4 linked regions of the Diceros bicornis minor genome follow. The protein of the gene in region 3 interacts with the protein of the main gene of each other region in a pairwise test. Links are inferred from orthologs where the notes say so. Each region holds a gene or a part of one and is shown on either strand. Other genes may lie near its edges.

Region 1 (7,703 bases), on a different chromosome or scaffold from region 3:
TAGTTCTGGTTATTATCATACTGTATTAACACAAAAATCCTTTAGTAAAAGACCTCATGCTCACAGTTCTTAGGCTAGTCCGCACCCCGCAGCAAATCAATTTATTAAATAAACACCCTTTAACTTTCTTCAAATCTTTCCTATCAGTTCTAAATAACTTGCAACCTTGAGTATTCTATTTTAGTCGTGAAACCCAGTTCGAAGAAAACTCCCTTGTCAGTAATGTATATTTAAAAATAGTAGAAAGTAAAAAGAATTTTTCACTTCAGTGCTTTCTTAGAATAAAAACATTATTTTGATTAGATAAACATTATCTTCAGGCTGAGTCCCAACCCAGCCACAGGTCCACAGGTTCAGTCCACAGGTTAGTTCAGTCCACAGGTCATTATGGCAAAATGGGCCTGGGCCACAGGACAGATTCCAGCATCTGTATTTATAATATCAGTTCCCATAGAGGTTATTTCACCTACCAGTCCTTTCAGCAGGATCAGCCACATAATTTGCAGGGCCCAGTGCAAAATGAAAATATGCAGCCCCTTGTTCAAGAATTATTAACAATGTAGCACAGGAAATAATTAAACCAAGGGGAAAATTAAACCCAGTGCAGCCTCCTCTGAGATGGAGACCCTGTTCTGCACAGGTTGCATGCCCACGAAACTAGCCCTTTTAGATTATGTCCTTTACAATCTGTCAGTATAGCTGTTGGTTAAAAAAAAAATTTTAAGGTTTTTTGTAATCAAGTTCAGTTTTCTCAACAGGCAAAGTACACTCACAATCACTTCATTTAAATGAGGGCAAAAAATCAAGAGATTTCCTGTAAGTCATCAACCAGCAACTATTAATTCAACTAATTTATATCGAGAGAGGGGAGAAAAGAGAACATTGGTGGAGCTCTTACTATGTGCCAGGCACTGGAGATTTTAAAATGACCCTTGTTTAACTCCAGCTACCAAGTAGGTGAACTGGCAAGATTTCGGGGATGGGGAAGACTTGATATTATGGTTTCTACATAACTTCAAAAAGCAACTTGGAAACCCTTTCCACGAATTAAGTAGGGCAGACCTCAGGCTTATTCAAGCCTCGGCCTTTTCCTGCGGCCTCCGGGCGAGGGCGGGCCAGCGCGCTGGCGGGCCTTGACCTGGGTGCCCGCGCCAGAGGCCGGGGGGGGGGGGGTGGGGGGGGGTGGGGGGTGGGGCCGCCCACGTGGGGGCTGCGGAGAAGTGAGCGGTGAGGGAGGGGCGGGACCGTGGGGGCGGAGCCTTCGGGAGCCGGACCGTGGAAGAGCCGGGCCGAGGAGAATGGACTCCGGAGTTAGGCCCCCCGCGAGTGGGCGGGCCCGAAGGAGAGCGGGGTCGAGGGTGGGCGGGCGCTAGCGGGGGCGGGGCCGAGCGGCGGCAGGGGCGGCCATGTTGAGGCCCCCCCTTTCCATTTTGACTGCTTCTCCTTCCGCCGCGGCCGCCGGAGGTAAGACTGGCCCGGGCGGATGCCCGGGTGTCCTCGGTCCCCTGGGTTTGGGGCCGCACGGGCGACACGGCGGGGGCCGGTCGAGGGGGACGTGAGGCCGGCGGCGAGTCCCGCAGGCGGCAGCGCGGAGACTGCGGCCCCGGGGCGCCGCACATGACGGAGCCGGGGCAGCAGGCCGAGGGCCGGGGCGCCGAGGCCAGGCGCTTCCCACACCCCGTTTCCACACTGAGCCTCCACGAATGTGTAACCCGGACGCTCGGGCCTGCGGCCTCCGAGGAGAAGCTGCGCATTTATGCAGCGCCCGCTGCGTTTATCTAGTTCTTTCCATCTTACATAGGGTCTTCTCGCCCTTGACGCCCACCGCGTGAAGGAGGTGTGTCCCGGTTTACTGGCGGGACAGGCCCGAGCGGTGGCAGCTCCACGGGCGCCTGCGTCAGGACGCGGGCCCGGGGAAGCGCACCTCCTGGCGCGCTCGCCGGCTCCTTGGAGTCTGCTCGCGTCGGAAACGCCCTGACCGGGGCAGGGGACCGTTTCCGCTGGGGTCCTCGGGGAGGTGGTGTGTGAAGTTGCGGGAATAATAATAGCTGAGATTTGTGTGCGCGTCATAGCCAGCAGTGTTCTCAGCAGTGCGTAAATTAACTGCTTTAGTGCCGGGAGCAAGCCTATCACATCGATCGTATCGTATCCCCATTTTACAGTCGGGGAAATGAGGCACAGAAAGATTACATAGGTTGCCCGAAGTTATGTAGTATGTGGTGAAGCCAGAATTTGAACCTGAAGGGTCTGGCTCCAGAACCTGCTCTAAACCCGTTGTACCATAGCGTTGACTAAAGCCACCCCGTAGAAACATCCAGGCTATACTAGAGTTATACGTAATTGAGTTTGACTACGTTAAAATAATGGAAAGACCAGAAAAATAGTGTGGGACCAGTGAAGACAATTTTGAGAGCCAAGTTAAGGTGTTTGGAGTTCGTGGGTGCTCTGTTTTTTCCCGAAGGTGGATTAAAAATTAATATGGGCAAGCCATGTGAATTTTTATGAAGGAAAAGAGACTATGCTTAGTACACAGTTAAAATGTGAGTGAAGTGTATGTGGAGTTTCATTCATCCTTATTTATCTTGTTGTCAGTTCTTCACAATTTCGGTTTTATGAAGTTTTAATGGCATCAAACTTGACAAAATTATACTGTACAGTATAATGAATTACATCGTCTTCCATTTCAGTGACTTATTGGTGTTCAGCTGCTAGCCTGACAGCTGAGTGGGATTAGCTCTCTACACCTGTAGGAACAGCTTGGAGGTGGTCAGGCATTTCTCATCTGCTAGTTAATGTGGGCAAGCTAACAATGTTTTTAAAATTGACGGAATATACTTGACACTACTGAACTATGCACCTAAAAATGGTTAAGACTAAATTTTATGTTACGTGTTTTTTAGTGACAATTTTTATAAATAAAATAAAAAATAAGTTAAAATGATTAACAATTTCATGTAGGCCATTTTAGGTCTGAAGATGTGACATAGGTATCCATCAAGCAGTAAGTTAAAAGGACTAAAGTCCTAGGCTTCCATGCAAGATTGATTTTAGTGGGACGTACAAGAAGGAAACAAAGTAGGAGGCTAAGTTTTAATTTCTTGTGTATAATTAGGATGGTGGCAATGGGAATTCAAAGAAGGGGTAACTTGAAGACATTTCAAACGTAGATTGGGTAAGATAAGCATGGATGTAAAGAGAGGCAAAGAAAAGGAGAGAAAAAAATGGTTTGAAGGTGGGAGATAGAAACTTAGTTTTAGATGTGTTGGGTTTTATTAGCTGGTAGCATATCTTATTAGAAGGGTCCAGCAAGAAATGTAAAATTCTGGCACAAATGCTTGAAAACGATCTGGAGATGCAGGTTTTGATTCTTCTACCCAGAAGATGTAGTTGAGATGTAGTTGAGACTAACTCCTAACGGAGTTAAGGAAAGAGTGTATGTGAAGAGAAAAGGAAAGGGAGATGGGAGGAGAAAGAGAAAGAGTGGAAGAGAAGAACTCAGATCCTGAGTTTCCACTGAGCGGAGGATTTAAACGAAAAAGTGGTGGTCAGCAGTGCCGTGATCCAGTGATGTTGAGGAGACCTGTGTGGGTCATTAAGAGCCAGTGGAGTGGGACACTGAAAATGAAGAAATAGATCCAAGTCCAAGGAGTCTGAGAGAATGGGACAAAAACAGAGGTAGAGATAGAAAACTGCAGACTCATTGGAAGAAGGAAAGAATGGGTAAAAATACGAAGAACAGAGATTTCTGGAGGTGGATGACATTTAGCTTCAATAAGTAAAGGGAAGAAAAGTAAGATTCGACACTTCGACCTTGAGGGGGAATGGATACTTTGTGAATAAAGACAACTTTCTCTTTAATGGTTTTTACCTGATTGGCTTGGCATGTACACCAAGAGAACCTTTCTTTTCTAAAGAACATTGATGTTCATTTTATTGACTTTCTAGGAAAATTGTGTAACTCGCACTGACACAGTGAAATTGTTTTTGGTTTTTCGGGTGGAGTGTTATTCTACTCTACTCTTTCACTCCATTTCTCCCACCATATCTGTTCTAGAACCTAAATGAAAGATCAGACAGATGACACTTATAGTATGTACTATGTTAAGTTGCTATTTATTTATTACTGTGTATCAGTCACTTCAATGTCATTCATAAACTGAATTTTCTCACCAGTTCATCCTTTCTAGCCAGCCAACCCAGTAGTCCTTAAGTCCTCATCGCTTCCCTCCTTTCTCCTCCCTGCATTCCAGGTTTGATCTACAATTCTTAGTCAGGCATGTCTAGGCTTTTTATATTTCTCTACTTTTCTAGTACCCACTCCTGATTTTCTTCACTCTCAGCGGTTGACTATATCTCTTACTTCCAAATTACACTTTAAAACTTTTTTAAAATTTTTAAAAAGAAAGACTTTCTTCATAGGAATCTTATTCTAGCAAAAGTTTTTGACCAAAAACTAGGCCTTGTGGCAAAATGGGTATTCAGGAAATTAGATTAAGGACTGAGATGAAGGGGTGTGCACTTCGATCAGCTGCGTTTTCCAAGCTGCCATAGCCAGCGGAGACCATCACCCACCTCGAGAGAAGAAAATGTCCCTGTTGAGAGTGTGTAGTGTACTGTACATGTCTATATAACCTTTATGGTAAAAAGTATGTCCTGTTTATGAAGCATTTGGTCTTTTTTTTAAGGATCGTCTACCCTTTGGTGCAGACTGAAAAGCAAGTAGCAATTGGACAGTGTCTTATGTGTACATTATTACTTATGTGTACATTATTATGTGTTAGTTTGAAAGTTGTATGTAAAAATCTAATAACCTGGTTTAAAATATGTTATTTTTCACATAGAAAAATTTTAGTGAAAAATGTAATCACCTAGTATATCATGTCATATATCATAGTATATCTAGTTCTTAGCTTATGTCATATTTTTTATTGAGCCTAACTTGTTTCTTGATTTATAATTGAAAGTAGTTTCTAAAATGGGTGGTTGGGGAGAAAAAAACTTAAAAAGCTTTGATTTTTTTTTTTTTTTTTTAGTTCATCCTACCAGTTTAAAAAAACATTATTTTAACTTTGTTTTTTCTTTGACCAAATGGAAAGTATTTGATTTTAATTAAAGAACATTCAAAGAGCAGAGGAAATTGACTAGTTCTCGTTTACTAATATAGATGAATTGAATAACAAAGTATAGAACAATAGAGATAAAGGACAAGCTAATTTTTAAAACTTTCATGTAATCGGTAGTTAGAAGTTAAAAAAATAAATTATTCATTAATTCAACAAATAATTATTGGGTATCTCTTATGTACTGGATATATGTTCAGTGTACCATGTTTTGGGAAAGCAGACATAGTCCCTGCTAGGTTTAAGAAAATAGGATATTCTTGTAGAATAATTCAGTAAATAATTGTATTCCTTGGTCTTGTATATATGTTAAAATTATACATGTATTTCATTTAGTTCATTATTTAAGAAAGGATCATGAACAAGAATAGCTGAAATTAATATTCAATAATTAATAACATCTTGTGAGAAATTTGTTGTTTAAGAATTGATCTTTTATAGATAAGAAGCATAAACCTGTGAATAGAAGGTAATTTCTCTATGTGTATTTGAAATACCCTAATCCTATAAAATTAGTTAATCTTAAGAGTGTCTGGGAGGAAAAAAAAAAAAAGAATGTTTAAAAAGACCTGCTAGGAGGCAGGAGAGCATAGCAGCAGAGTCTGCTGATGAGTCTCTGATATCAGACTTTCTGGTTCAAGTCCCAGCTTTCAAATGCAAAGCTAAGTTTTGGATTTATTGAGGAGATTACTTAAACATAAGGTTGAAACTAATCTTATTTAGAATTTTTCAAAGACATTTCCAAAATTAGCTTTTTAAGATGATTGTTATATATCTTTTTAGAGTAACCCTAACACTGCACCTGATGAGCATACAGTAGAACATTTCACGGAGAAGACCGCCAGAGTGGTAATACCTATTCCTGGTATCTGAGGATTTTTTTATTTGGTGTGTACAGCTTACTGATTTTAATAAGAAGGGGAAGGGAATCCTTTCTTGAGAGATACAAATCAGAATCAACAGATGTTTATGATAAAAATGGCTTTCCAATTTTTTTGTATTTATTATTAAAACATAATAGTGTGTGATATTTTAACATGTAAGTTTAAAATTATTTATGGAAATTTAAAAGATTTGTTTGAGGAAAGAGAATTATAAAACTTGAGAATTTCCCAATGACAATCTGCACTTGTAATTCACTTAAAACAGCCTGTGTTTTACTTGTTGGTTTGTTTTAAAAGAAGAAATGTTGGTCTAAAAGTTGTACATCACTTTCTCTGAAAAACTCATAGAATGAGTAATGTGATCTGGTTTAGCATGTAGAAGGTTGCCTATCACACTGTAGATGTTCAATAAATGTTATGTTATTATTAAAATCATTATTATTACATCATTTTCCTCCCTTTTTAAAATCAACCATAATCAGTCCTATCAATTCCTTGACTCCTTTGTTACAGCTTACAGGTAAGCTATTAACAGTTTTTAATCTTCTAAGCCAAAATAATCAGTTACTAACATATTTTATTCTGCCTCTTTCTAAAAAGAATTTGGGGCAGTCCACACACACAAAAAAAGCTTGTTAATAAATTAGTAATGACATACCAAAGTACTACAGTTTTCTAAAGTGAGTAACAAGTGTAAGTGTGTGTATGGAAGTTAGTTTCTTAATATTGTTTATCAGAGAAAATTAGCATGTGAAAAAATATTCTAGGTGGAAAACAGTTGTATGTTTGGATAATTTATCTGAAAAAAGTTTTGTTTCAAGTTTTTAAGGAACTAATTCTCTAGAAATTAATGAGATTAATCTTCACTAATAGGAGAAGAATGGCATTGAAACAGATTTCCAGCAACAAGTGCTTTGGAGGATTACAGAAAGTTTTTGAACATGACAGGTAACTACTAAGAAGATACGGTTTTAGATATATCTTGTTCTGCTTCTATCTATTTGAGTCTTTAAATAAGCCCATGAAAGATCATTGGTGCATGAATTACTGCTTACATGGAAAAATACCTGTGGTTTTATCAAAATTATCTTATCTAGTTGTGATTTTAGTTATTGTAATAAAATATTAATGATAAAGAACGAGTTAAGAATGTGTACATTTTGGTACCCATGAGCAAACATGAATTTAAGATCTTTAGAATTCATTTTTTATAAAAACCGATTTATTATTTCATACATCTCTTTAGAAACATAAACAATTTTTCTTTTAATAATATTAGTGCTACACTGAGGATATTACATTTATTCTTTTAATTTATTCTGTCCAAAATGACTATGTGCCATGCAAAGCATAAACTCAGGTTGATTAATAGATCTCTATGCTAAATTGGCCCCATTCTTTCTTTAAGGGCCAAGGTATATTTCTTAAGTGTTGGTGGAATCCCTTATTTTGGACATTGAATCTCTTATTTTATGTTTCTGTCTTGACTAATCAGGGGCATTGATTTTTTTGTTGTGACTGTTAAAATTACAGCGTTGAGCTGAACTGCAAAATGAAATTTGCCATCTATTTACCACCAAAGGCAGAAACTGGAAAATGCCCTGCGCTGTACTGGCTGTCTGGTAAGCATTATACATTTGAGTTTTATAAAGGAATTTCTTTTTCTTTTTAACTGGCTTATCTTACTCTTATCTTATGG
Region 2 (7,889 bases), on a different chromosome or scaffold from region 3:
AAACTTTAAGAAGGCAAAAAAATAAATACAAATCACGAGAAGGGGATGAGTGGGGAAGAATACCAATCCCCTCTCCCTAGTAATATAATGCCGTATAAAGTTGAATCAATCTTAATATTCACAACATAGTCAATACTCCAGTGCTTAGCTGTCAGCAGAAACTAAAGTGGAGCCCTGATAGCAAGAAAACCCTTGGACATTAAGCAACATAATTTACTGAGAATTACGCACTTTTAGGCTTCCAAACTAAGAATCTTCAAGATTTAATGCTCGATGTCTTAGATAAAAATTATCTCCAGTTTTAAATCACAATGCTTTCTAAAGGTAGCTAAAAATCAAGAGTAAAAGTTAGTAATTTAAAATGCCTGTGGTTTTCAAAATGTAAAATATATCTTAAAAAGAATTAGTCAACATTAAGAGACCCTGCATACTATGCGACTGAAAAGCAGAAAAGGTGCTCTTTAAGGCTCTCAATATTTGCTGTTAATTATGGTTTTAGCGTATTTTTAATGGAGAGCAATAACTCATCATCTTTTCTTGATTACTTTTAGGATCACAACAGCATTGCACAGGAAAATCTGTTTAAAAAGGAGGGCAACTCTTCTACCAACCAACGATTATATGCAGTGTGCTATTATTTGTACACACAACTTAAACACAATCACATTTAACCTATTAAATGGCATCACTTGGACACTGCTATACCCTGGACTTCAACCTTCTCTTCTTTGCCTTAACTTAAAAAATGGCAACTTTAAAAAAAAGGCAACTTTGTAATACTATATAGCCTACACTCACCAAAAAAATAAATAAATAAATCAACAGTAACGCTTATTTAACGCACTTATTTGCCAAACACACGGCAAATACTGCCAAATACGAATTAAAACATCTATATTAAATCTCTAATTCCACTTGAGTCGCTACTATCACCTCAAGACTAAAATACCTTCAATTTTAAAAAGTCTAACAAGAAAGTTAAATTGAAATGAATTGCCAGAAATTTGTCTAATATGTACTTGCAGTTTTCATTCCAGCACTTCTGCAAAAGCTCTCTTTTCATATATCCCCTGCCGTGAACACTTCAAAAATTGTTTAACCTGCATTTGTGGACCTTTTTCTACTTTATAATATATATTAAGCATATTTAGAATGTAATGACTTCGAGTATAAAATTTAATGAAAGTATTAATAGATGTCATACATTGTATATGGCTGAACACATCATTACCCTTCCTCGCTTCTTAAAAGTAGTCTTCCCAACTAAAACACGAATTCAAACATGCTACTGGGGTCGGGTTCAATTGCATCTATTCTTCTATCTGCGGAGCTGAAGCTTAAGGCTGTCTAAGTAAAACAAAGTTCGGGCGAGGCTACTCCCGGGGACTCGGTCCCCGGCATCCAGTCTCCCGTTGCTCCTTTTAAAAACTGACATACAAACAAGGCGAAAGGAGCGGGAGAGAGCGGCTGGCGCTCCGGGCCCCCTCCCCGCCTGCAGCCAGGGGCGGCCGCCTGGGGACAGCGACCCAGCCCCGTCCGCATCTACACTTCATTTCACACCAGGAGCGGAATGGAGAAATCGACTCCAGATTTATGGCAGTTTTTTCTCAAGATCAGGAGGTGGGAAGGAGAGAATGATCAAAGATGGCGGTGCCCAAAAGCAGCAGCTCTCAACTGGAGAGTCGAAGGAGTAGCTCCGACCCCACCTCGGGGGGCTCCAGGCCCACCGCGGGGCGCAGCGTCTTACCTGTTTTCTCTTTGATCTCACACAGGACGCTGAAGAGCGCGGGTTTCATTCTGTGACAGTTCAGGGCATGTTTCCTAAAAAACAAATCGCAAAACACAAAGGTATTAGCATCACCTATGGAATAATATGGCGCCTTCCTTTAAGTTAGCCCCAAGATTTAATTCCGGCCCACTCTTGGGGAAGGCTCCCGTGAACCGCGGCAAGTCACCAGAAACTCAAGTTGACTAGTGAGCGACAGCCGGCGAGCTCCGGCGGCCGGAGCGCCAGCCCGAGCGACGCGCGACCCATCTGGCCGGCAGGCAGCAGCCTCGGCGACCGCGGGGCGCGAACCCGCGCGGGCAGCCTCGGGCCGGGGGCAGGCGGCGCCCCCCGGGGGAGGGGACAGGGCGGAGGGGCTCCCGCGCCCGCCCTCCGCAGGGGGAGCCGGCGCGGGCGGGCGGGCCGGCGGCCGAGCGCGGCCAGCGGGCGGTGACAGCTCGGCAAAGTTTGCGAGGCGGCCCTCCCTCGCCGAGAACTTGGCCGCCCGCACCCGGCCCCGCCGGGGAACCGCCCCGCGCTCCGCGCCCGGGCTGGGGCGGCCGCCGGCACGGCGAGGTGGTCCCGCGGCCGGGCGGAGCCGGGCGCCGCGACTCCGGGCGGGAGAAAGTTGCACTTTCCTCGAATGCGGCCCAGGGCCCTCCCGGGGCGGCGTGCGCGGGGGCCCGGCGGGAGGTTTGAATCCGCGGACGGGGCCGGGCTGCGAGGGGGCCGGCCCCGGGGGACAGAAACCCGCCCCATCCGCGCCGGCCCAAGTCCGTCCCGAGCGCCGGGAGCAACTTTGCCGACTCCCGCCCGCGTCGAGGGGCGCGGGCAAGTGCCCCCGGGGCCCGGGCGGGCGGCAGATTTTCGGAGAAAGTTCCCCGCCCGGGGCTGAGGCCCCTGCCCGGGCGCCACCCCGGGCCCCGACTCGGCCGCGGGCCCGGCTCCGCACGCACACAAAAGATGCTTAACGAGACGACACCAACTTTGCTTGCGCCTCGTCCAAGCTCTGGTCCGTGATGGTCATGATCTGGTGGAGGATGTCGCCGATGTCCTGCTTCCTGCCGTCGCCGTCCGCCCCTTCGTGGCCGTGCGGGGGAGGCGGCAGGGCCATGCCCCCCTGCACCGAGTGGCCGGCCAGGTTCACCCCGGCCAGAGTCTGCAGCATCCTGGATTGATCGTCCATCCCGCCGCGCGCGGGCGGGAGCGGGCGGCGGCGGCGAAGGCTGAGGCGGCGGCGGCGGCGGCGGCGACGAGGGAGGAGAAGAAAGAGGGGGAGGGGGAGGGGGAGTCGGCCGCGCGCTCCCCGCCCGCGCGGGGAGGGGGCGGCCTGGCCGGCGGGGCCCGCGGCTGAGGCGGTGCGGACGGGCGCCCGGCTCCGGCTTCCGCCGCCGCCGAGGCTGAGGAGCAGCGGCGGGCGGAAACGCCGGGCTCCGCGGCGCTGGCGCAGGCGGAGGCAGCGGCGCCCGCTGCCCTCACGCGGCCGCCGCGCCGCCTCCTCGCCGCCGCGCGCCCCGCCGGGCGGCCCCGCGCAACTTGCTCCTCAGCGCCGGCCGAGTTGCCGGGACGCCCGCCGCCCCCCGCGCCGGCCCGCGCACTCCCCTCCCTCGGCCGCCGCCGCCGCCTCGGCCGGGCGGGATCCAAGCCCCCGCGGCCCCGGGGGAGGGAGCGGCGGCGGCGGGCGGCGGCGGAGGAGGAGGCCGGCGGGCGGGCCGAGGGGAGCGAGGGGGACGGAGGAGGAAAGTTTGGGAGCGGGCGGACCGGCGCGGCGGGGCGCGGAGCCCGAAGGAGGGCCCCCGGGGGCCACGCGCCGGGCGGACAGCAGATTGATGGGGCGGGAGAAGTCGCCGCCGCCGCTGCCGGAGCCGCGCACCCTGCCAGCAGCCGCCGCGGACAAGGCTCGAAGGCCGCTCGGCTGAGGGATTGACAGGCTGCCAGTGCCACTCACTCACTGCGGCCCCCCGCGCCCGGGGGGAGGGGCGGGGGCGAGCGCGAGGGCGGGGGAGCGCTCTCCAGGCCCCGCCCCCGGGGGCGGTGCGCGTGCTCATTGGCACTTGCACCTCCCGCCGCCGCCGCTGGCGCCGCCCCCGGGCTTGGGCCCGCCCCCTCTGGCCTCTGATCCCCAGCGCGGGAGAGCGCGCCACCGGATCCTGACGGCTGGTCGCGTCCTCGCCCCCCAGGATGGGCCGCCCTGGACCGCAAACGTTGTGACCGCACCCCAGCTCCTGCTCCCTAGAGTTAGCAGTCATGGGTGCGAGGAGTTGTGTATGGGACACGGGGCAACTCGCTCCAAAGCCAACCATGTGCTTCCCCGCAGCTCCGTGAGCTTCACGCCTCCGACAGCGCCTGCTACACTTTCCCGCTATTCCGGTCAGGAGGGGGTACCCACAGGGTACCCGGCCGCCCGTCCCGGACCAATCGCATCGCGCTTGGAGCCGAACAGGGCGGGACCAAGGCAAGAAAGGGCGGTCCCAATTGGAGCGTTCGAAATATCCTGGGCAGAGGCGGGGACGCAGTGGATGGAGACCCCGCCCCTCTCGCGATCACCATAGTAACCGAGAGGGCGCTGCTCCGAGTTGGCGCCAGCTCTTGGACCTCAAGGGGTGACCAGGTAAGGTAAGAGCCCGTGGTCCCGCATGTTTGAAGTCTGCGCTGAGCGAATCTGACTGCCATACACTTTCCCTTGAAAGGGGAGCATATGAAAATGTGTCAGAGGGAAGTGGATGTGGGAAAAGAGAAAGGGCCTGACATCCAGGACTAATTCAAGGTTTACCACCCTTAACACATTCTGCAATTTCTGGTAATCCAGGGAATACTCCTTTGGCAGCGTTTGCTTTTAGTTGCCTCCAGATAGACCAAAGCTGCAAAAACGAGCTCTTTATTACAAACATATGCTTATTTAGGGATAGGCTGGGTTTCACTTATCAACTTACCCCATCACCACGAGTCATTTAATGTAAGTGACTCCAGCCACAGATTTTCATACCTATAACCCCTCTTCTTCCATTGTACTCTGTCTCAAATGACTAAAGGCTCACATTACTTGAGGGTCTAGATTGCCACCTCTTGTGGACACTTGCGCTTTCTCTTTACCTGGTTTCCCAAACAGGGCTTCAACATGTTTTCCCCATTTTAGATTCAGAGAGCTCACCCCAGATGGGTCCTTTGGTTAGGTGGTTCTGAAAAGTCTTCGTGTTCCTTCCCCAAACTCAGTAAGCTGTCTTACCTGAAACCAAAAATAGGGGTATGAGATATGAAAAATGGCTCTCACTCTGCAGGGTTTAATGTAGGACAAGCAGTTCTTTACATGCCAGATGGATTCTTGGAATGAAGCAGGCTAGTCGGTTCCAGGTTCTTTCCTTCATATGTTGTGTGTACTTTTAAATACTCCCCACTGCCAAGCTAATAGCTAACCTTACAGTTAGGCAAGCTAAAATCTTTACAAACTGCACAGCTGCTGGAGAGAGAGTTCCAAACAATCCACTCCACTTACTAACTTCCAAAGAAGAAGCTCCCTCGTGTTCATTAATATTCCCTGCTCTTCTGTAGCCCATTTGTGTGTCAAGCTTCTGATTCTTCTCTCAAACCCCCATTATGGGTTGTTCATAGTCATCATTTATTAGGCTTTCTCTTTATTCTTAACTTGTTTTTCAAAGCTGTCACCAAATCCTTATACATTTTTACATAAAGGAGCAAGAGCAAGCAGCGAATCTTTCATAATTCTCCAACGTTGAAGATGTAAAACCACGGAATTCTAGCTGAAAGATGCCTTAATCTCCAAATTCCTTCCAGCTCTTAAATTCAATGATCCTGTGACTCACTATCCGGCCTCCTCCCTGCCCTCTTTCTAGGCTCATAATCTTGACTAATCAGTCATGAAGATGAGGCTAATTAGCAATACGGATTTATGGTTATTTCTAGCTCACGCCAAAACAATGAGTTATGTAAGCAAAGCAACATATATAAAAATGTAAATAAAATTAAAGAAACACTTAAGCAAATAAAGGCAATTGGGAACTATGGGCTATGTAAACAAACTGGAACATAAAAACATAAATTAGAGTTAAGAAAACAGTTAAGCACATGCCAGCGATTAGGAATGAAACAACTTGTTAAATGTCTAACCCCAGCAGCTTGTTTGATGGCACACACCTCTAAACCCATGGTCATTCAGCGAGGTAGAAACTTGATACCATAATTCTGCATTAAGTGATTGGGTTAGATTGACCTTCTGCCTGGGAGGCTTCTCTTTTGGTTATTATCAATATGACTTGCAGTAAAAGCCAGAGTGTCCTAACGAGGATTCCCTCACAGGCTCATTGGCAACTGCCATTGATTTAAAGCATAAATTCTTTCAGATTGGTTTCCAAGCCCCAATAAACAGTGTCAACTAATTGCACATCTCCAAGATCTCTTGTGCTTTTGCCAGTTTCTCATGTAGGGTGTTGCCTTGTCTCTGCTCAGCAATCTGGGTCACATGGGTGATGCCTTCGCAGATAATAGAATAGAACCTCCCTAAGTACCTGAATCCATCTTTGCTGTTTCGAAGGCAGTGATTATTAAAAAGTCAAGGGAAATGTAATTTACTTTTGGTGGGTGTACATTCATGTAAAGTTCACAGTGACAAAGTGGTGAGAACCAAGTAGGGGCTCTTTCATATCCATCCCTTTCCATGGGTTTATATTAACATCACCATTGCCTCTGTCATCCATGTGATGATCATCACAGCAGATGTCATTATCAAGCACTCTCTCAGGGTGGGACTGTGCTCTGTGTTCTCCTTATTTCATCTTATTTCAGTCTCACAACAGCCTTATCTAGCTGAGATTATTATTAAATAAGGAAACAAAATGTGAGAGGGTAGGGAACTTACACAAGACCACAAAGCCAGTAAGTACTGGACCATGAATTCAAATCTTGATCTGTGTGGCTGCAAAGCCCACCCTATAAACACTGTACAAAAAAAGTCATTTAATCAAGATTACTAAGTAAAAATCATGAGGCCTTAACAGGTGAACTGTAAATTAGTGAAAATAAGTAACTAGGTATTTAATAAAAAGAGGATAAATAACTCTGTTAGAGGAATCCTGGTCTCACGCAGCAGAGGAGGGGAATATCTTCATTTGACGTTGACACAGACCAAAGCCCAGCCAGGCCATCGTTCATGGCCATCTAGGACCCCGCCTCTCTGACGCTTTCCTACCGGGCTTGCCTTCACTGATCTTCATCTGCTCTAAACTCTCTCAGAACATATTGCCTATAATATATAATTTAGCACCATTCTAGATAGTCCTGTGTTGTTTGTTCTCAGTTCACCTGCTTATTTTCTCATCTAGTTCATAAGCATGTTAAGGGCAAAGTATTTTGAGACGTGACTATAACATGACTGATTTAGCTTTTAAAAAAACCAAAACTTAGGGGCTGGCCCAGCAGCGTAGTAGTTAAGTTCGCGTGCTCCACTTCAGCGGCCCAAGGTTCGCTGGTTCGGATCCCCAGCACCAACCTACACACCACTCCTCAAGCCATGCTGTGGTGGCGTCCCATGTACAAAATAGAGGAAGATGGGCACAGATGTTAGCTCAAGTCTAATCTTCCTCAGCAAAAAGAGGAAGATTGACACTGGATGTTAGCTCAGGGTCAATCTCCCTCACACACACAAAAAAAACAACCAAAACTTAGACATCTAAGAAAGAGTTAAACTTTCCAAGTTGTTACTTTGGGGAAACTGACTAAGTACTTATTCCCAAACATGTCATCTCTCCATCACTTTAGGAATGACTCTTTAGAAGTGGTCTTCTACCCAGTTGCTAACATATGTGACATGTGACAAATCTTCATCTTCTGAGGATGTATTTGACTGAGCAACCAAAGGATCAGTGAGATAACAGTGCATCCTTCTATGATGAGGTCCTTAAAAGCGAATATTTATTGGAATATATAACTTCTAGAAGGTTTGATAGAAAGCCCCATCTCTTATGTTCTTTCATTCCTCATAGCACCTACTACAGTGCAGACTCATATGTAGTAGGCACTTGAGGCCAACACTGTCAGTTGCTCACCTCTCGTTCACTGGCCCACCTCCTTCCATCCTGACAGAACCCAGATTTTATTCCATTGGCAGTGT
Region 3 (7,270 bases):
GGCCACTCATGGCAAAGCTGTGCAGAAAGAGGAGGTGACAACCTCACCATCGTGAATATCGAGTCGAACCAAATGGCTTCTGACCATAAAAGGCAATTCCAATACCTCCAGGTGAAGAAGGAACAACCTAAGCTACTCCAGCTATAACTGTCATTTCAGTTCAATATTTCATTTCACTTCATTACTGACCTTGATGAAATCAACCTTCTCTTCATGACACATCTCCTCTACTGTTTCCATCAGTTCTTTACAGGTATCAAGGTTTTCTCCACAGATGACCAGTTGTCCATACAAGGCTTCCAGCTTCTCTTTCTTTTTCTCCCCTAGAGCTTGTATTTTTTCTTCATATTTTTGAGCAAGTGTTTCCAAGATCTCATTGTAATGTGACTCAAAGTTTTGTTCTTGTCTTCCAAAATTCTCCTGCAAGACAGTTCCCCTCAGTCATCATTTCAGTGCATCTGGTGTGTCAACAACAGAGTCATTTGGGGCATGAAAATGTATCTATATTGTAGCTATTTTAGTCCCTCCACGTAGTCTTATCTCTTGCCAGGATGCTGTGATGGACACTGGGGGAGCTAGGACCCAGGAGTCTCCAGCTAGAACCTCAGGGATAATCTTAACAAAAAGCACTGCTTTCTCTCCTGGCAGCATTTTGCAATCGTCCTCCTCACTCCATTTTTAGCCACCTTTCATCACCATGACAACCAACCAGGGAGATTATCAGTGATGAATGAGTCAGCCTGTCACTGGAACCTTGGACCTTAATATGAAGATGTTTGCTCTGGGCGATTCCCACTTATCTTTCCCTCCTGAGCTCTCAACATCTCATGACACTCACCTCCACCCCTCAATGCTTGGATTATACAAACACCAGGATCACGCAGATCCTCATATCTGCTGAGAGATATCAACTGCTTTCTCATATCAACTAAGAGAAAGATGAAGGGGAAGGGGAATAAGGGTTGTGGCCAGATGGTGCTGCCTAATAGATGAGAAAAGTCAGGAAGACAGAGGGAGGGTTGAGACCGTACATAATCCTGGAGCACAATGGATGAGAAATATTAGTCAGAGCATATGGATTCCTGGTCCCTGTTCCTTAGATTGGAAGCCCAGGCGAGCTCTGCGGGTTCTGACTGATGTCATCCTCACCCATAACAGGGACTTTCCAAAGAAGGGGCTCTTATCAATCACTCAGGGAGTATTTACTGAGCGCCTACTATGTGCGTAAGATTTGCTTAGAATGGTGGAAGAGAGGGAAAGACGGTAGACAACTTCCCTGAGTTAAGTGTAAAAGGAAGATCTCAGAGTCCTCACTGAGGTGAAGACACTTTGATCTGAGAGTGAGCTGGCAGTACAGAGTGTAGGGAGTTTTGTCCTGGCTGTTGCACACTGACCCCTCCTAGCACTACCCTAAGCTTGGAAGGGGAAGGGCTTGTCCCTTCTCTGCCTTCCATAGGGGATTAGTGCAATAGCTCTCCTCCCTTTTCAGATTGGAGGCTTCACGGGAAAGGGGCCTGGGGCTTAGTTAATTCATATGGAGTGCTCCTGTTGATACAGTCTGAGGCTGCATGAATAGGATTAGAGCATCCACATGAAGAGAGAGGAGACAGACGGTCCCCTGGTCCTCAGTCTCGGTATACCTCATCTGGAGGGTCAGGTTGAGTGCTGGCATCACAGCGGTATACTACATACCTATTAGGTCCACCCAGGGGACTGTGACATGTTTGGTGGCAGGCACAGAAACTTACTAATCTTGTGAGAAATAGATAACAGCTGAGGAAAAGCACACTTATTAATGACAGAATAGGTGTTTTGCAATGCCTTGTCAAGGCTGGCGCGTGAAAGAGTCCTACCTTGTAGTAGGACTGGGGATATATAGACACAGAAGACACAGTCTCCCACGGAGAGCTTCTAGTTGAGTAGGGATTGCTGACAGGTGGTGGGTGCCCTGAGGCATATACCCAAGGTGCCATGGGAGGGCAGGGGAAGGAGTGAGGGGAGAGGGGCAGTAGTGACGCCACCCATTCTAAGAAAGCAGGTTCTCCAAATCATATCAGACACAGCTGCTGACCCAGCCACTAATGGAAGCCACGTGTGTCTGGTGGGCTCATCAAGTGTGCTCTTACCTCCACAGTGATGAAAACCTCCTCTAAGTGACTTGCAAAATTTTCCATCTCGATAATCTGCTTTTCCAATTTGTACATATTTTTGTGAATTTCATCCTATCCAACAGAGGATCACAAGAAGATGTTAATGGTACATCTTTTCTCTCTCTCTTTTGTAGAAGGCATTTTAGATTTATTCCCTGCCTGCACATTTGAGATATAAATGCAATATCCAGAGAAAGAAGAACCAAGGAGACCTATTTACCTTGGCGATTTCCAGTGCTTTATTGAGTGGGGTCACCTCATGCTCTTTGTGTTCATCAAAAACCTTCTCCAAAGCTCTTACTGGAGTTTTGCAAGTGATGCAGAAGACGTCAGCAGCTTCTTCCTCATCCTCCTCCTCTGGGATGACGTAGCATTCATACTCCTCACTGGCACGGCCACGTGTGTACCTATAGGCTTCCCGCAAGTCCTGGCACTGGCCTGCCGAGCCCCACCTTCCGAAGCCTGGGTCCTCTGCCTCAGCTGCCTCTCCACTAAGTCTCCAGTCTCTCTGCTCCCCGGCTGGTTCTCTCCTCATCATCCCATAAGGAGGATATTCTGAAACCTCTATTCTGGGCATGTTTTCATCAACAAACTCATCCCCTAATTCGTGATCATCTTCAAGTCCATATAAATGGACAAGTTCATCCACTTCCTCTTCAAGTTCTTTTTGAGGCTTACCTTTCGCTGCCCCTCTTGGCTCACTGGTCATTTCAGCTTGGACTACTTCTCTTCTCATCCGAGTGGTTTCTTCTGGGAAGATATGCAGTCTGTCTTCAAAGTCATACAGATCCATGTGATAAAAGTGAAAGTTCTTGGAGGCAGTAGACCTGTGCATTGCCGGCGCCCCCCCAGCTTCCTCCTCCATTGTAGCTCTGGAGGACCTGGGCAGCACCTTTGCACAAGAAGGATCCTTCCTGGACGGTTAATAGCGGATATTCTGGGTGCTGGAACACAAAAAGAGGAAGAAAACTTCGTTTCTGAGATGGCCTTGTAGGAGGGAGTCATTAGATTGGGCTCCGCTCATTCACAATTTTTTTAAACTATCTGAGCAGCTGGGCTGTGGTTTCACTTTGAACTATCTGTAAAGAAAAGTTTGCTTTCTATAGGAGGATGGGCTTTCTAAGCTTAAAAGAGACAGAAGAAATGACAAAAGAAACATAAATAGATTTGACTAACAATAGACTCCTATACATTAAAAAAAAAACCTCGAAAGGGAAAATAATGGGAAGTGTCAGGCAATTATTATTAAGCAAATTGTATGAATTAATTAAAAAAATTAAGATCTTAATAGTTTACCATGCAAGGACAAGTCACAAAATAATTACTTTTGTATATAATATTACCTGTACAAAAACATTTAGAGAATGGTCCATCCTTGTGAGTAACAGAGAACAAATAAATTAGATGTCATTTTGACTTTCCAGTTAGCAAATATTTAAAAATATAAAAATGATACCCAAGGCAGGGTAAGGGAGCAGTGAGTACTCTCATATGCTGCTGGTTGGAATGTAAACTGGCCCCACCTCTCTGGAGAGAAAATTTGGCAACATGGATCAGGAGCATTAAAAGTGTTGACACTCTTGGCCAGTCCTGATGACCTAGTGGTTAAACTTCAGTGAGCTCTGCTTCAGTGGCCTGGGTTTGGCTCCCAGACATGGAATCACACCACTCCTCTGTCAGTAGCCATGCTGTGGTGGCAGCTCACACGGAAGAACTACAGTGACTTACAACTACATACTGGGGCTTTGGGGAGGAGAAAAAAAAAGAGGAAGACTGGCAACAGATGCTAGCTCAGGGCCAATCTTTCCTAGCAAAAAAATGTTCACACTCGCATGCTCGCTTCGGCATGAGATACTGAAATATGGAACTATACAGAGTTCCATATACTAAACATATACTAAAATTGGAACCATACAGAGAAGATTAGCATGGCCCCTGTGCAAGGATGACACACAAATTTGTGAAGCGTTCCATATTTTTACAATTTCTAGTAAAGGAGTAATATGCCAACAACAACAACAAAAAATATTCACACTCTTTAATCTAGTTTTCCCTGAGGAAGTATCTCAAACACAGGGGAAAATTTTTTCTATATAAAAATGTCCACCACTAAATTTTTTAAAATAGCAAAAAAATTTTTGAAAAGGCCTAATGATTAGGAGAATGGTTAAGTAAACTAGGATATGTACACTCTATAGCATATAATGCAGCCTTTAAAATATTTAGTGAGAGCAAATGATAACGTGGAAAAAGATTTACAATATGATGTTAAGTAAACAGAATACTCATTATATATAGACAATGATAACCACTGTTTTTAATGGAAGTTCGTAAAATCTAGGAAGAAATAGTCGTAGTAGTAAATACAATGCTAGTAGTAGCTACTACTTGTTGAGTGCTTACTGTGTGCTAGGCAGTTTATACACATTGTCTTATCCTCATATCAACCCTATGCGGTAGGCACTACTGTTATCCCCCTCTTACAGAGAAGGAAATTATGACTCAGAGAGAGGAGCTTGTGCAAGGTCACATAGTTAGTAAGTCATTGAACTGGGATTTGAACCTTAGTGTGCGTGATGGCCATGAGGATGTGGTGGTAGATATCCAACTACAGGGAGCGTGACTGACCAGAGGTTTCAGCTGCAGTCTGAAATCCATCGATATATTTGCATGGAGGACATGCTTCCCATGGACATCTCCCATCGGATGACAAAGTGTAGCAAAGATACTAAGGCAGATCCATTTCTGGTTGACACAAAACTACTCTGATGGCGAATTTTGGCTGGAGCCTTGCCAAACCCTGGCAGCTTTGCCAAACCTTTCTTAAGGGGCATGGCAGTCTAGGATGCTTCTTCCAAACCTTCCCTCCTCTCCTCCTTCACTTGGTGTGAGACTTGCATCATGACAAGACAGCTCTCTCAGCCTTTCCTATCTGTCTCCCTATTTTAACTCACACAGGTGTTTCCCCTAATAAAATTCTTGCAAATTTAATCCCATCTGGTACCTGCTTTTTGGAGGACTTAGATTAACACAAACTGTTGGACTTCAAAGCCCCTGCTTTCTTCTTAGCTCAGAACTGCCATGTGTTATACTAACTACTTTTGTAATATTTTTACTGACACATAATTCACACACCGTACAATTCACCTGTTTAAAGTGTGTAATTCAATGGTTTTGGTATATTTGCGTATATATGCAACAATCACCATAGTCAATTTTAGAACATTTACATCATCTCAAAAAGAAAGCCTGAGCTCTTTAGCTATCACTGCCTGCAGTCCTTCATTTACACCAGCACTGAGCAACCACTAATCTACTTTCTGTCTCTATTGGTTTTCTTGTTTGGACATTTCATATAAATGAAATTATATAACATGTGGTCTTTTGTGACTGGCTTCTTTCTTAGCATAACGGTTTCAAGTTTCATCCCTGTTGTAGTCTGTCAGTACTTCATTCCTTTTTAGAGTTGGATAATATTTTATTGTATGGATAAGTCATATTTTGTTTATCTATTCATCAGCTGATTTGCATTGTTTCCCATTTCATCTGAGTTGTTTTCATGTTTTGGCTATTATAAATAATGCTACTAAAACATTTGTGTACAAGTTTTTGTGTGGATATATGTTTTATTATTATTACTATTTTATTGAGGTCATAACTGTTTATAACATTGCGAAATTTCAGGTGTACATTATTATTTATCAGTTTCTGTATAGACTGCATCATGCTCACCACCAAGAGTCAATTTTTATCCATCACCATATATATGTGCCCCTCTACCCCTTTCACCCACCCTCAAACCCCTTTCCCTCTGGTAACCACTAATCTGTTCTCTTTGTGCATGTGTTTATCTTCCACATATGAGTGAAATCATGTGGTGTTTGTCTTTCTCTGTCTGGCTTATTTCACTTAACGTAATACCCTCAAGCTCCATCCATGATGTTGCAAATGGGATGATTTTTTCTTTTCTATGGCTGAGTACTATTCCATTGTATGTATACACCACATCTTCTTTATCCATTCGTTAGTTGATAGGCACTTGGGTTGCTTCCACATCTTGGCTATTGTGAATAATGCTGCAATGAATATAGGGGTGCATAGATCTCTTTGTATTGTTGATTTCATGTTCTTTGGATAAATACCTAGTAGTAGGATAGCTGGATCGTATGGTATTTCTATTTTTAATTTTTCGAGGAATCTCCATACTGTTTTTCATAGTGGCTGCACCAGTTTGCATTGCCACCAGCAGTGTATGAGGGTTCCCTTTTCTCCACCTCCTCTCCAACACTTATTATTTCTCGTCTTGTTAATTATAGCCATTCTGACAGATGTGAGGTGATATCTCATTGTAGTTTTGATTTGCATTTCCCTAATGATTAGTCATGTAGAACATCTTTTCATGTGCCTGTTGGCCATCTGTACCTTCTTTGGAAAAATGTCTGTTTATATCCTCTGCCCATTTTTTGATTGGGTTGATTGTTTTTTTGTTGTTGAGTTATACGAGTTCTTTATATATTTTGGAGATTACCACCTTGTTGGATATATGATTTGCAAATATTTTCTCCCAGTTGGTGGGTTGTCTTTTTGTTTTGTTCCTGGTTTCCTTTGTCTTGCAGAAGCTCTTTTTTTTTTTTGTGAGGAAGATCAGTCCTGAGCTAACATCCATGCTAATCCTCCTCTTTTTGCTGAGCAAGACCAGCTCTGAGCTAACATCTATTGCCAATCCTCCTCCTTTTTTTCCCCAAAGCCCCAGTAGATAGTTGTATGTCATAGCTGCACATCCTTCTAGTTGCTGTATGTGGGACGTGGCCTCCGCATGGCTGGAGAAGCGGTGCATCGGTGCACGCCTGGGATCTGAACCTGGGCCACCAGTAGCGGAGCGCGTGCATTTAACCGCTAAGCCACGGGGCTGGCCCTTGCAGAAGCTCTTTAATCTGGTGTAGTCCCATTTGTTCATTTTTTCTTTTGTTCCCCATGCCTGAGTAGACATGGTATTTGAAAAGATTCTGCTAAGAGGTTGGCCCCATGGCCTAGTGGTTAAGTTCAGTGTGCTCCCATTGGGTGGCTCAGGTTCGGTTCCTGGGTGCAGACTACACCACTCATTGGCAGACATGCTGTGG
Region 4 (6,908 bases), on a different chromosome or scaffold from region 3:
AGCTTTCCTGCCAGTACAGCTTCTCCCCCCATGGCCTTCCAGCAGAGCGTGTTGGGGGTGGGGGGGAGGTTAAATCCCAGGGCTGTTTTGTGGGTGGCTTCTCAGAAACCACACTGAGGCCTTGAAAAAGGGCCTTGGAGATTTAGACTGAATACAGCGCCAAGGAGGAGGTTTTGAGTTGGCATGGAAACTTCTTGTCTGATGTTTGTGGGCCCAGATAAGCTACTCCAGGCTCCTGTTGGCTTGGAGAAAGGGAGGCAAAAATGAAAGGAAAGATGTTTTTGAAGTTTTTTTATGCAAGCTGCAGCCCCAGCCCACTATAGATACAGGAAAATTCCCCAGCTCCCAGTCATGACAGCCTCTCCTGGTCTTCACTGTCACCCTTCCTTTTGGCTCCTTTAGTCCCCAAGAAAACAGACTTCAGAGGGACGGGAGATGAGTGTAGGAGAGGTGTGCTCAGCCTCTGGGATCTCCCTGCAATCCTCAGTGCGGCTGAGCAAGGATTCTGATCCCCAGGCCCCTGGCATTCCAGAGTCCTTCCTTTCGGGCGAATGAGAAGGCCTCCAGGGAAGGCCACACAGACCAAGGCAGGAGGCAGCAACGGGGGCTGGACTCGGCCCTTACCTGGAGTAAACTCCTAAAAGGTTCATCTGCTCAGAGGACCTCTATTTTCCAATACTCAAAACGGACATGCCTGAACCACAGGTGAATCATAACTGTAGTTGGTTGGAAAAGATTGCTCTTTCTCATATTTTTCATTTTTATTGCTTTTTTCTGATAGCAAAAGCAATATATGCTTGGGTTTGCTTTAAGCCACAAACACTACAAAAACGTAGTGACAAAGGAGAAGGGCCTGTAATTTTATGCTGTGGAATAGTGGTTCTCAAACTCCCGAATATAAACAAATCCCCCCAGGGACATGTTAAAAATCCAGATTCCTAGGCCCCTCCCTCATAGGTTCTAATACAGTAGTCCAGGAGCGTGGCCCAGTAATTCCAGTTTAACACGCATTCTAAATGATATCTAATAGTGACATCTGAGATAGATTGATGTAGAACTGAATTCTTTTGACAGTTTAATGTATATGCATCCAGATTAGTTTCTATGTATGTACTACACATATACTATATACTATACTAACTTTTTTATCTTGGGGAAAAAAGGGGGGGGAGTCATACTACATGTGATTTTGCTGTTTTATTTTTCACCAGACATGTGGTGGATATCTTTTCAGGTCAATAAATAGACACGCTATTGACTGCGTCCCATCATGGGATGTAGCCTAATCTCTCACTGATGGCTGTGGCTTGGGAAATGGTGGCTATTGATCGCTGATCTCACACACAGTTACACACACACGTATGCACTCACATGCACACACACACACACACACAGCAAGATGGTGCTATAACAAGCTCAGGATATCAGTGTTTCTGGTGTCTGCAAGTCAACAGTAGTTACTGAGCACCATGGTACTGGGACAGGAACACTAAGAAGGACAGGAGAGGTCCCTGCCCTCAGGCTGGCAGTCTGGTGGGTCAGCCTGATGGGTTTGTACCCGAGTTGGACTGTGAGAAGAGCTACAGTGGAAGAAGTACAGTGAGTCCCAACTGCCTGGGGAAAATGGCCCCCAACCTCGGGGGATTCCTGCCCAACACTCGTTGGCGCTTGGCTGCTCCGGGGCTGCCATCAGTCTTCCAGTAAAGGGAACGCAAAGTGGGAATGGAGGCCATTGCTGGCACGAGGGCTCTCAGAGTCTGCTCCTCCGGAGTGAGCTGGATTACGGGATTCTGTCTCTCCAGGTGGTGAGCACAAGCTGTCAGCAGTCCTCCTGCCCCAGGATCCCTCTTATTCCTGCAGCTGTCAGAGGGCACTGGGACTGGTTCAGGCAAGCCACTGTGGGCCCCAGGAAATGCCCAAAATAGTCATTTGTGCAGCAGGACAACACATGGCTGGGGACCAGGGGCAGCGAAGAGTGGTTTGACAAGACCGCATTTAGTTGTAGTCTTCCATGTCAGAATTTCGTGAAGTTAAGCCACAGCAGGATGGGAAGCTGGAGGAGGCTACCACGCAAAGTACCTCAAGAGAAGCAGAAGTTAGGAAGAAGAAACGAAAAAGACCACGTGTTGTTTCCAAAAAATTGTTCTATACCTGAGAATTCGTGACCCTCTAAGTGTAAGTGGCTGCAGAATGGCCGGCTTGGCCAAAGCTCCCAGGACATGCAAGACCTGCCCCCCGCCCCCTCTTCTGCCCTGTCTCCCACCGTCCCCTCACCCCCAACACTCCAGCCCCCCGGGCCTTCTTCCATCAGGCCAAGCTCATTCCCCCACCGGGGGCCTGTCCCTCTCCCTGGAATCCTCTCCTATGGGAACAGTCTTCACCTTGCTGACTCCTTCTCACCATTCAGACCTCCCTATAACTTCACCTCCTCGGTGTCCACCCTTCCTGAGCTGCCAGTCCCTCCTTTCACCTCACCCCGTCTTAATTTCATCATAGCATTCGTTGTAGCTTCATGTTTTCTTGTTTGTCTCATTTTTTGTCTGTCCCCCTGCCTTGAGTGTAGGTTACCTGAGCACAGGGTTGTGTCTCATTCACACTGTAGCTCCAGCCCTGGAACAATGCCAGGAACACAGTAGGTACTCAATAAATGTTGGTTGAATGAATAATAGAAGCCAAAGAGGACAAGAAACGCATTTTTAACGCCCCCCTCCACGTTCGATGTATGCCATGGGCCTCATCGCCTTCCAGCCAGCCAAGACCCTTCATGAGAAAGCGAAGTTGGAACGAGGGCCATGTTTAACTGGTAGATGCCAGCTTCCTCACTGGGAGACTAAGGATAATGACAAAAGCTGGAAAACACTTCCAAATTTTCAAGTGAACGCTGATTCTGAAACTCAGAGAATGCCTCCTTATCTGCAAGCACCCAGGTCGGCCTTCAGCACCTACACACACTCTTTATTTTTACATCCACATTCGCTCACTGAGCCACGATTTATGGAAGGCAGATTCTGCCAGGCTCAGTGCTACATGCTGGGGCCCTGCCCTCAGATCACGCTGCGTCCGGTTCTCTCTGCAGGAAAAGTCCTATTTGCTGAGCATTGACTGCATGCTTTCACTAATGTCATGTCACCTATGTTATCTCCCAACCACCCTGTTTTTCTCCACATTTGACAAACACAGAAACCAAGGCTCAGGGGCATCGGGGGCTGCCAAAGGGGTTGGTGCCCGAGCCGGGCTGACACAGGCGTGCTCCGGCCCAGAGCGGGTCAGCTTCAGCTCCCCCACGCTCTCTCCTGTGCCACATCCTGTTGGCTCCTCCCTGAAGTTCAGATGAAGTTCAAGGTATCAAGTAAATAATGTGGATGGAGTTTTCGACACATTCGTGGACGACCAAGAACTGACCCAATGCGATTTCCCCTCCCTTGACCCCCAGAGCTGTTCTCTCCTGAAGAACTCGGCGCTGCAGCAGGAAGCCCGGCTCCCCCTCCGCCAGGATGTGCTGGAATGCACTCTCACTGACCCTCTATTAGAAACAAGGGAAATGCCTCTATTTGAGCCGCCTTGCTCAGAACAAAGCTTGGCGTGTTTCTTATTCCTCAACAATCTGACAAAATAGGTATTTATTTGTGCCTCTCAAGCATGTGGCTTGGACACGGTGTTCCGCGTCGTGGAAGTGGCCCTGTACCAAGTGAAATACCCGTTACTATAGTAACAGTTCCTTTTTATTGATACGAGAATAAACAGGAATGCAAAGCTGCCTCACTCGCTGGCACATTTGAGCTGCCTGCCATCCCCAGGGGTTTAAGAACCGCCCTTTGGAGGCGGCCCTCCTGGCTAGTCTGGGACTTCCCGGTGGAGCCAGGAGCCAGCAACACTGCTCCCGAGTTCCCTGCCCGACGGCGCAGCTGAGAAGTAAGACCATTTCTCTTCTGTTTCACCTGCTGTCGAGCTGTGCCGGGAGGAGGTGCAAGGGAAGGAGGGCAGCCTCGGAGCACCAGGTGGGCGGTCAGGGGAGCTGAGCTCTTTGTGCCTAGGCACCGGGCCTATGTCCCTGCATCTGAGAAGTGTTTGGGGGGTGCCTCCTGGCACCCTGGGTTTGGGAACAGGATAGAAGGCCAAGTGGAGGGAGTGCCAGATCCAGCCCTCCATTCTTTTTGATCTCTGTCTTCTAAATCCTCAGATGAATCTGCATTTATGCACGCTATAACCTCACCTAAGCCCATTACCACAGGGTGATGGTTTTAATTCTCTTCATAACTGATAGACAGGAGGCCAGAGTGCTCAGGGTGGCGCAACTGGGAGAGTACAGGTTTTGGTGTCAGTCAGAGCTCCGCTCAGATCTAGCTTCTTCATTCGAGGGCTGTGTGATCTGGGGAAATCAGATGACCCCTTGGAGCCTCAGTGTCTTCATCTGTGCAAAGGGGTGATGACAGTACCCCCCTCCTCAGTCTGCTGTAAGAATTTCATGAGATGTGGCTGTGAGGGGCTTGGCACAGTACGTGACACATAGCGAGCGCACGTCAGCATGCTAACTGCCTGCCTTTCCGGTGAATTTGGCTTTAGCGTTTTACAATACAAGGCAAGTCTGGGCTTGAGCCAAAAACCAGGGGTTATAGGAATGGGTGTGTCACCTTTTGGAACTGTTACCAAACCCAGGTGGTTCCCTGGCTGAGGCAGCCCCAGTACCTGTGTCTCCGGTGTCTGTGATCCTGTGTGGCTCTTAGCGCTGTTGGTGGTAAGTACCTGCTGGGGGCAGGTGGAGTGGCTGGCGTCATGCCACTGGAGGGCCAACAGGAATATCTGGCCTGCTGACACTTGTGCCTTGATCCACTGCACAGCACTGTCCACCAACCTCGCTAAGGACCAGGCATGTCCAGCCCTGGACTTGGCCTTGGAATTCATTCAAAGCCCCGAATGCCCACCCAGACTTGCTCCTCACAAACTAGGAGGTCACAAGGCAAGATGCTGTGTTGAATCATTTTCTCCCAGGGTGGGGAAGTGGCATCTAGGTGGACAAGCAGCTCTGACGGGGGCTTCTAGGCATCGGCCACAGTTGCCGGGAGATCTGAGTGGTTCCCCCACACACTGTCCTGTGGTTGCTGGCCAGTGGAATACAAACGGGCACTTTCCCACTGGGAGGAAAAACGACAAGGGTTGGGAAATCCATGGCCACACTTGTCACTTTTCCTGAATGCCTCTTTCTGCTTTGCCAGTGCCTCCCTTCTCCTCTGCCCCTCCACCCCATGGAAGGTTGAACCAAGGTCACAGTCTGTTCTGAACCCAGCAGCTTGAGCAGTGATAAGGAACAAGGGCTGGGCGGGGTGGGGGGAGGCGGGGGCAGAGGAGTGAAGACTGGCCAACACCCTGGGGAGGGAAGGCCACCAGCTGGTCCCCTCCTAACAAAGACCAGCCGTGAGCAGACAGGCCTGTGGATTCCGGCTTAAGCCCCAAGCGGCTTGTGAGAGTTTGTTTTTCGTATGGGCCGGGAGTCCTCCAAGAACCAAGCCTCCATTTCCTCCTCTATAAAATGGGCTCGCACTGCCTCTTCATTGGGGTTTCTTGAGTATCCAGGGAGAGAGAAGGGATGTAAATCCTCTTTGTTAACTGAAAGACGCTTTGCATCTAGAAGATAGCAGAGTGGTAAAGAGAGCACTGAATTTGGAGTCTGAAGGTCCTGGCTGGGCCATTTACTCTGTATCTTGGGATACAGAGTAACTTGTAGCTTGGCCTCTCTAAGCCTCAGTTTTGTCATCTCCAAAATGGGAATAATAAAATAATACCACTGGCTGCCTCCCAGCAGGATTGTGAGATCCAGGTGGAGGTGAGTGAGCCTTCTTCAGGTGTCAAGTGCTGGCCACAAGTCCCCTCAGGATAGGAGACCCACACTTCACCCTCGGTGAGCATCACTCTGCCAAGCCTGGGCTAACCATATCATACACATTATCTCATTTCACCCCCCCACACAGCCCCATGAGTAGGTATTGCCATTATCCCCACTGTACAGGGGCTCAGAGAGGTTAAGCTATTTGCCCAAGGTCACAGAGCTAGGAAGAGGTGCCACCAAGATTCAAACCCAGTCTGTCACCTCCAAAACATCTGCTTTAACCATGTTGCTTTACTGGCTCACGTGTCATTTGTTATCATTGATGCCATCAAGGATGGAACCAGAACCACCAGGGCAGGGGAGAGGGCAGATGAAGGGGACATTAAGGCCTTAGACAGCCTGGGGTCCCTCAGCTATTCTCAGGACGAACTGGGACCTGGGTCTTCATTGGTGCCACATCCCTCCCATCTCTCCTTATCGCTCTCCTGCACCGGGGGGCGCCAGTGTTTGGTTTCAATGCTGCCCCCCTAACATTAGCCACGCGCACCCCAGAGGCCTGGTGAGCTCACCCTGGGAGCAGTTAGTGATCCCAGCCGAGCCTCGCCTGGCGTGGGGCTGACGTCCTGCAGAGCCTCCAGGGAGGAGCGGCGGGACCTCTTGGGTCATCAGCAGAACTGGGAAGACGCGAGAAGCTCCCCGTCTCTCCTCGGACCTCTTATTATTTACCCCCTGCCCTGAAAGATGAGGTCGGTCCTACAGGCTGCATATTAAGTGAGAATTATTTGCCCATCTCGTAGTCATGCAAGACACTCAATGTAGCTGATGTCTTCCAGCTGCCTCTACCCCGTGCCCAGCACTTTAGCTCGTCCAATCTTCACAGCATCTTGATTTTACAGGGGAGGGTCCTGGAGGTTAAAGACGCATCCAAGGTCACCCAGCTGCTAAGAACTGTGACCTTAATCAGACCTGCCACGAAAACCAGGCCAACCAGTCGGCTGAAATCACTCAGGCCAAAGCAAAGAAGCTTGGTTTGTTTGTTTTTGTTTTTGTTTTTAACTCCATGGTTTGCAAAGTTGGCTGACTA

What was found.
Region 1: the proteins of FSD2 (region 3) and ESD interact in binary tests that used the Homo sapiens proteins (3 or more experiments, as listed by UniProt). The two-hybrid records come from large-scale screens. The link is inferred for Diceros bicornis minor from reciprocal best matches to the Homo sapiens genes FSD2 and ESD.
Region 2: the proteins of FSD2 (region 3) and PBX3 interact in a two-hybrid assay, tested with the Homo sapiens proteins (3 studies listed by BioGRID and IntAct). The two-hybrid records come from large-scale screens. The link is inferred for Diceros bicornis minor from reciprocal best matches to the Homo sapiens genes FSD2 and PBX3.
Region 4: the proteins of FSD2 (region 3) and FAM107A interact in binary tests that used the Homo sapiens proteins (3 or more experiments, as listed by UniProt). The two-hybrid records come from large-scale screens. The link is inferred for Diceros bicornis minor from reciprocal best matches to the Homo sapiens genes FSD2 and FAM107A.

What each region holds. Positions count from the first base shown.
Region 1 is NC_080748.1:30,151,796-30,159,498, forward strand, and holds the start of ESD (S-formylglutathione hydrolase), read left to right. Parts: upstream 1-4,682; 5' UTR 4,683-4,744; intron 4,745-5,903; 5' UTR 5,904-6,010; intron 6,011-6,877; exon of another isoform or gene 6,878-6,880; 5' UTR 6,881-6,884; coding exon 6,885-6,952; intron 6,953-7,537; coding exon 7,538-7,626; intron 7,627-7,703.
Region 2 is NC_080767.1:34,017,499-34,025,387, reverse strand, and holds the start of PBX3 (pre-B-cell leukemia transcription factor 3), read right to left. Parts: upstream 3,004-7,889; 5' UTR 2,952-3,003; coding exon 2,752-2,951; intron 2,030-2,751; exon of another isoform or gene 1,956-2,029; intron 1,822-1,955; coding exon 1,748-1,821; intron 1-1,747. UniProt on the Homo sapiens protein: Transcriptional activator that binds the sequence 5'-ATCAATCAA-3'.
Region 3 is NC_080744.1:95,273,957-95,281,226, forward strand, and holds the start of FSD2 (fibronectin type III and SPRY domain-containing protein 2), read right to left. Parts: upstream 3,016-7,270; coding exon 2,371-3,015; intron 2,223-2,370; coding exon 2,127-2,222; intron 421-2,126; coding exon 190-420; intron 1-189.
Region 4 is NC_080741.1:58,403,658-58,410,565, reverse strand, and holds the start of FAM107A (actin-associated protein FAM107A), read left to right. Parts: upstream 1-3,899; 5' UTR 3,900-3,998; intron 3,999-6,908. UniProt on the Homo sapiens protein: Stress-inducible actin-binding protein that plays a role in synaptic and cognitive functions by modulating actin filamentous (F-actin) dynamics. Mediates polymerization of globular actin to F-actin. Also binds to, stabilizes and bundles F-actin.